2 linked regions of the Danio rerio genome follow. The protein of the gene in region 2 interacts with the protein of the main gene of each other region in a biochemical or structural test. Links are inferred from orthologs where the notes say so. Each region holds a gene or a part of one and is shown on either strand. Other genes may lie near its edges. The genes, in order: ocrl and cltcb.

Region 1 (3,829 bases), on a different chromosome or scaffold from region 2:
AGCGGCTTTTGGCTTCCCATGGCGATCAGTAAATAGACAGAAAGAGAAAATAACTAAAAAGAAGACCGATTACTTTCTAAATTAAAAACTAATCATAGTTTGAGAATAGAGTGAAGAGTGAAATTGATATCCCCTCAGTGAAGATGCGTTTAGTCTTTAGAACAAAAATGGAGGTCAATATATGGCTACCATTTAAAAGAGTTCCCTCAAAAAATGAAAAACTAATCATAATTTGAGAATATAGTGAAGAGTAAAATTTATCCCACACTTCCATAAAATCAGTGAAGACACGTTTAGTCTTTCTCTTTGGCAAAATGAAACCAAAGATTCTATTAAAAGTGCTTTCAGAACACAAATGAAGGTCTAGATATTGCTACCATTTAAAGGGATAGTTCATGCAAAAAAAATGTAAAATGAATTATAATTTGAGAATATAACGAAGAGTGAAATTGAACTCCCCTTCCATGAAATCAGTAAAGACACGTTGCCAAAGCTGCCAAAAGGAAGCCAAAGATTCTATTAAAAGTGCTTTCAGAAGAAAAATGGAAATCAGTCTATATCTGGCTTCCATTCAAAGGGATAGTTCACGCAAAAAATTAAAAATTTGAGAATATAGTAAGGAGTGAAATTGATCCCCCTTCCATGAAATAAGTAAAGGCACATTTAGTCTTTCTTTTTGGCAAAATGAAACCAAAGATTCTATTAAAAGTGCTTTCAGAAACAAATGGAGGTCTATATCTGGCTACCATTTAAAGGGATAGTTCACACAAAAAATTACAAACTAATTATAATTTGTGAATATTGTGAAGAGTGAAGACTCATTCCCTTTCATGAAATCAGTGAAAACACATTTCCAAAGTTGCCAAAATGAAGCCAAAGATTCTATTAAAAGTGCTTTCAGAAGAATAATGGAAGTCAGTCTATATCTGGCTACCACTTAAAGGGATAGTTCACGCAAAAAATGAAATATGAATTATAATTTGAGAATATAGTGAAGAATTAAATAAATCTCCTCTTCCATGAAATCAGTAAAGACACGTTCAGTCTTTCTCTTTGCAAAGAGAAACCAAACATTCTATTAAAAGTGCTTTCAGAACACAAATGGAGGTCTCTATATGGATACTGTTTAAAGGATAGTTCACCCAAATGAAAAAAGAAATATCATTTGAGAATATAATTAAGACTGAAATTGATCCCCCCTTCCACGAAATCTGTGAAGACACGTATAGTCTTTCTCTAGAGGTTCAGCTGCCAAAATAAAGCCATTTTTAAAAAAAAAAAGTGCTTTCAGAACAAAAATGGAAGTCAGTATATATCTGTCCACCCCTGAAAGAGATAGTTCACCCAAAAAATGAAAAACTAATCATAATTTGAGAATAGAGTGAAGAATGAAATGAACAGAGTGGTTTGCATGATGAATGCATGAATGCTACTGAACAAGTTGTATATAATTATAACATTCTCTCTCTAGCAAAACTGGAAAGTCTTCTCTTTTGCAAAATCTCAAGGAAAAATTCCTCACCATTATCTGTCACTTCCATCCACAGACAAAAATTTGATAAAACCACTTTTACTTTTGTATTAGCTGCTACTAATCTAAGCGACTCCAGCAGTGGAATGGGCCTCACCAGGTCGATGAGTTTGGTGATGGGGATCTCACGGATAGGTTTCTTCATGCGGCACAGAGTCTCCAGAGATGTGCCGAAACAACTGGGCAGGTAGTTTCCAGAGACAGTGATGAAGTAGTCTTTCCCTCTGTCCAGATGAAGCACCAGGATGTCCTCAATGTTGTCTTCACCAGAGTTTAAAAGCGTCACTGAGTCTTTACTGACATACACCTCCAAGAAGATCTCGATTTTCTCATCTGTACAGATAACATGAATATTTGAGTCAATCTGGATGATGGGACGGTCTCAGTCTTCACATGAATAAATCAGATATGTCCTCTCTACTGTATATAAGAAGTCGGCATGCAATTTTTTAAAGCATTAAAGAAAAAATGCCATCAATTTCTTGCTCAAAATACTGTGTAAAGTTGCCAGACTACATTATTGCTGCTTTGACTAATCTCAGCTTTACTATAACAGTATTCAGTTAAGATTGGAGAAATGCATTTGCCACCTCTGAGAAAATTTACTTCTGAAACACTTCTGTGCCTTTTTATTGCACAATTAGGTAAATTGTCCAATCAGGTCTTTTTTTTTTTTATTACAAAACCCCCCAAAAAAAAAGAATCAAACCGAAAAATATAAAAATGATTTAACAAAATCATCAAATAAAATGTCATAACACAGATAAAGAGTTAAAATGCCATATGAGATACTTACTAGGATCTAGTACCCCTTCACAGGGCTCAGCACGTAACCAGGGCTTACAGTATTGGGAGTCATTGAGTTTGGGAATAAAGGCGAAGGTGCAAGCAACTTGTCCATCATTAGTGATAAGAAAACTCTGACGCTGCAGCTGACGGAACTTCACATTCTCAAAGGTGAACTAGTGATAAAAGAACAGGCAGAACATAAATATTAGGCTAGAAATTCATGCTCTATCATCTGCCATTGCTCTATTACTGGACATTCAACATTACCTCAGTAATATTTCAGCATCAACGCTTAAGGGGATAAATCACCCAAAAATAAAAATTGTCTCCCTTTACTCACCCTTTGATTTTCAAACCTTTATTTTTTCTTCTTCTGTTGGACACGGAAAAATATATTGAAATGAAAAAAGTTGGAAACCTGCAACAATTCATTGACATAGCACTGGGTTTTCCTACCGATAAAGTCAATGATTACAGGTTTTCAGCATTCTTCAAAATATCTTCTATTGTGTTCAACAGAATATCAAAACTTATTTTTGCCATTTCAGATAAATATTTTCAGTATCCAAAACTATCCAAATGCATAATATTTTTGCAGGTTCCAGTTAATTCCTGTGGTCTTCTTTTGGAACAGAAAAATGCATATTTAATTACCCCAAAGATTAAATTGTCATCATTTACTCACCATTTTATTTTCAAACCGTTATGAGTTTCTTTCTTCTGTTGAATACAAAAAAAGATTTTTGAAAAATGTTGGAAACCTGTATCCATTCATTTACATAGCATTTGTTTTTTTTTCCTGCTGATGAAGTCAATGGTTACAGGTTTTCAGTATTCTTTAAAAAGTCTTCATTTGTGTTCAACAGTATATCAAAACTCTTTTCACCATTTCACATAAATATTTTCAGTATCCAAAACTTCACAGCATCTTATTTTTGCAGGTTCCAGCTAAATCCTGTGGTCTTCTTTTAGAACGGAATAATGTGGATTTAAAACGTAATTATTTACACAAAAATTTAATTGTCATTTACTCACCCTTTGATTTTCAAACCTTTATGAGTTTCTTTCTTCTGTTGAACACAAAAAAGATACTTTGAAAAATGTTGTAAACCTGTAACGATTCATTTACATAGCATTTGGTTTTCCTAATGAAGTATAATGGTTACAGGTTTCCAGCATTCTTCAAAATGTCTACTTTTGTGTTTAAAAGCATATCAAAACTCTTTTTTTCGCCATTTCACATAAATATTTTTAGTATCCAAAACTTCACTGCACCGTACATAGTCTTCTTTTGGAAGTGAATAATGTGGATTTAAGATATAATTAATAACACAAAAACGCAAATTGTCCTAATTTATTCATCTTTTGATTTTCAAACCTTTATGGGTTTCTTTTTTCTGTTGAACACACAAAAAAAGATACTTTAAAAATTGTTGGAAACCTGTAACCCTTAATATACATAGCATTTGTTTCCTGCAAATGAAGCCAATGGTTACAGGATTTCAGAAT
Region 2 (3,829 bases):
GTCACAAGTTTATTGTGGCCAGAGGAGACATGGTTATGCCTAGCTGAGACAGTTTTTTTCTTGCTCTGATTTGCTTGGCTAGGACTTGTGGAGCTGCACACCGGTAGAGTTGCACTTCAGTGTTTTCAGTGCTTTCAACAGTGACTTTTGCATCACACTGAACTTCAACTGTGACAACTAAACTGAAGCCATTTTAATTTACCAGAACTTCATCTATATTTTACATAATCTACATCAAAAAAGCACTATAGATAAAGATGAATTGAAATAAATATGAATTGAAAAAAAAAAGATCAATATTTTACACTGTGTGTATTCCATTCATGAAACTGTATTCTTATCTAATGATGAATCGCACATGCTCACAGGAAAAAAAGCAAATACATTTAAAGTCAGAATTATTAGCCCCCTTTGAATTTTTGTTGCTATTTTAATATTTCCCATATTATATTTAACATAGCAAGGAAATTTTTACAGTATGTCTGATAATGTTTTTTCTTCTGGAGAAAGTCTTTTTTTTTTTTCGGCTAATATAAAAGCAGTTATTAATTTTTTAAACAACATTTTAAGGACAAAATTATTACCCCCTTTAAGCTAACTTTTTTTTCGATAGTCTACAGAACAAACCATCATTATACAATAACTGCCTAATTATCAAAACCTGCCTAGTAAACCTAATTAGCCTAGTTAAGCCTTTAAAAGTCACTGTAAGCTGCATAAAAGTGTTTTGAAAAATATCTAGTAAAATATTTTTTACTGTCCTTATGGCAAAGATAAAAACAAATCAGTTATTGGAGATGAGTTATTAAAACTATGTTTAGAAATGTGTTGAAGAAATCTACTCTCTGTTGTACAGAAATTGGGGAAAAAATAAACAGGGGTTCTAATAATTCAGGGGGGCTAATAATTCAACTTCAACTGTACATGGCATTTCTACAAAGCATACTTCATGCTGCTTGTACTGTCGTTGCAATGCTGATAAAATAACATCTCTTGACTTTTTTACTATCAATAAAATTGTAATCTCAATTAAATGTGTAGGGTATTTTAAATCTGTACAATTTATGTTATTGGGTTAAATTAAAAAATGTGTCACAAAATATATTTTAAAAATGAAAAAATGGAAAATGGAAATGGAAAAGCATTTTCAGTTTATATATGATCAGCAAATTGTTAAACTCTTAAAACACTGCAGTGTTGCACCTGTTTCTTTTCTCCACCTCCGCCACAAGCTCATCAGTGGAGAACTGTCCTCTGACCACCAGAATGAGGTTCTTAATGACGTCCTCAGAGCAATCCACATCCAGTAGCCCTCCAATCACCACAGGCAAACGGCTGGGGTTGACCTGATAAAAACAGTCCATCATTATTCACTCTCCCATTAAGCTGAAATGTTGATGATGATTCCTCAAGCATTATCATAATCGCGCCTCAAGTACCTTCTGAACATAAATCTCAATGTACTTCTGGAGGTTGTTGCGGTACAAGTAGAGCACAAGGTCATGGACAAAATCAAAGCGGTCACACACAATGATGAGGGGCAGCTGGTCAGTCAGTTTTGCTTCCTGTGAAATATGAGGAAGATAAAATAAATAATTAAGCAACATTAAGGGTTTGTTAAAAGATAAAAAGTAAATTCAGGAGCTTATTGTGGTATCACACCTTGAGGAAGTTCTTCACTCGCTCAGGATCATAACAGTTGCTCTCCCTGCAGATTCTCTCCACCTCTTTGATTTGACCAGTCTTACAGGCAGCCTGAATGTATTTAAAGTGAACCTCTGGATCCTGGCTAAAGTTCACAATGGAGCCCAGGAAGTAAAACAGACCTGTAGAGAACAATCATATAATGTTCACGAGATCTTAATCATTTTCATGATTGGGTTCAATTCAAATAGTACATTTATAACGCTTTTGCTCTCAACATTAAAATATATTGTAGAAACATGATGCGCTTTAATTAAAATATATATTAAATAGATATTAAATAAACTAAAAAATACAATGAGAACTCTCATTTAGAGGGGTAGCAATCCTTCTGAAAATGTTCACTTTTTGTTCCAAACCTCTTTGAGCTTCTTTCTACACTTCAACACAAAGGAAGATACTCTGAAGAATGTTGGAAAAACAGCCATTGACTTTTATAGATTTATGCTCCTATTATGAAAACCAATGCCAGCTTTTTTCCAACATTCTTTAGAAAACCTTGTTTTGTGTTCAACAAAAGAAAGAAATACATAAAAGTTGTAAAAGTGTGAGTAAATAATGAGGATATTTTGAAATAGCCAAATATATAAAGCACTAGGTACCAGATTATATTTATAAAATATGTATTATATTATTTGTATAGTATTTCCATGTGTTAACCATTAAAATATACTTGGCTATTTGGTGGAAATTATGGTTTCCTAGGTGGAAATAACAGTTTCCTTAAGGTCAAGTCAGAGCAAATACACAAATATGGAGATCCACAAACACAGTTAAAAAAAGAGACATGATCCTTCAGGCAACACAACCCGGTCTCAATTTCAGTTCTGGTATACAAAACATTTTAGTATGGTTACCCTCAAAGCTCTTGAAGGACTCGAAGAGCTCTGTGAGGGACTGTGTGGAGAGCTGCTCGTGATACTTGGAGGCCACCTGGACACAGATCTGCAGGTTCTGCCGTATGTTGGCAGACAGCATGGCTCTCAAACACTCCATAGAGTCTTCAACCGAGAGAGAGCCAAAGAAATTCACCAGCCACTGCAACCAGAGCACAACACATCAGTGAAAGCTTTCACAAAATGTTTTTTGCAAAACAAGTGACAATGTCAACTTGCAAATAAAAAAACAGCAACTAAAATATTATTGTAGATGACAAATATCTAATACTGCAAGGTTGCTGCAAAAATAAAATCCTGAACCCAAAATACTGAATTTTATCGATGAAACACCAATAAAGCACAGACAGCCTTCAACGTTCAGAGTTTTGGTAAACTGGTAAATGGCTTTCACACTGAACGCACACTGCACTATAAAACCCATTTATTTCATTGGTTTGTGCCACAAAAAGGGCAGTTTGTCGTCAACTAGATTGCATGTGCGACGCAGTTAAAGTTCGTTTAGTCAGAGAAGAATTTGTCAAGCCCAGCTAAGCCTGGTTTCTTACTAGGTTTTTTCTCATCAATTGGTGAAGTACAGCACAAACCCCCAACAAAGTTTTGGCCAACTGGAGGACAGCTGACTAATAAAATAGCACTGAGTGCAGTAGCTGTATCAGACTGTGTGTTTTACCTCTGGGTTGAGCAGGTGTGTGTGGACCACCGCTCGTTTGATGTCATAAAGGTCAGTATAGTGCTCCAGAGCCCTCTGAAGAAGACCAGCCTTTTCACACAGCTGTGCCACATGAGCCCGATCATAGTGAGTGAACATCTGATTGCCCAGGATGGCATCTGCCACCTGAAAAAAAAAAAAAAAAAAAAAAAAAAAAAAACTAGCATGTTATGTACGGTACAAAACTTAAATATACTGAAATAATTAAAAACAAAATTATTAAATATAAACAAACACTGAAATCAAAACTGAAGTAATTAAAAATAACTTAAATATTTAACTAAACATTTAGATATATAATTATCACTCCTATTTTAATTCTTTAAAATATATTTTTTTGTGAATCGTTCACATTATTTACAGTTTTTCTCTCTAATTTATTTTAGTTTGGCTGGGATGGATTGTTTTATGTTTCAAAGACAATATTAATATCCCCTTCAGAATTTATTTTCTTGATTGGCTACAGAATTGTTGCCTAATTACTTGCCTAATTACCCTAACATGTCTAGTTAACCTA

What was found.
Region 1: the proteins of cltcb (region 2) and ocrl form a complex in vitro, tested with the Homo sapiens proteins (2 studies listed by BioGRID and IntAct, with this or other methods). The link is inferred for Danio rerio from reciprocal best matches to the Homo sapiens genes CLTC and OCRL.

What each region holds. Positions count from the first base shown.
Region 1 is NC_133189.1:38,410,380-38,414,208, forward strand, and holds part of ocrl (inositol polyphosphate 5-phosphatase OCRL), read right to left. Parts: intron 2,494-3,829; coding exon 2,328-2,493; intron 1,865-2,327; coding exon 1,629-1,864; intron 1-1,628. UniProt on the Homo sapiens protein: Catalyzes the hydrolysis of the 5-position phosphate of phosphatidylinositol 4,5-bisphosphate (PtdIns(4,5)P2) and phosphatidylinositol-3,4,5-bisphosphate (PtdIns(3,4,5)P3), with the greatest catalytic activity towards PtdIns(4,5)P2.
Region 2 is NC_133190.1:19,741,415-19,745,243, reverse strand, and holds part of cltcb (clathrin heavy chain 1), read right to left. Parts: intron 3,439-3,829; coding exon 3,274-3,438; intron 2,743-3,273; coding exon 2,562-2,742; intron 1,827-2,561; coding exon 1,663-1,826; intron 1,566-1,662; coding exon 1,440-1,565; intron 1,347-1,439; coding exon 1,204-1,346; intron 1-1,203. UniProt on the Homo sapiens protein: Clathrin is the major protein of the polyhedral coat of coated pits and vesicles. Two different adapter protein complexes link the clathrin lattice either to the plasma membrane or to the trans-Golgi network.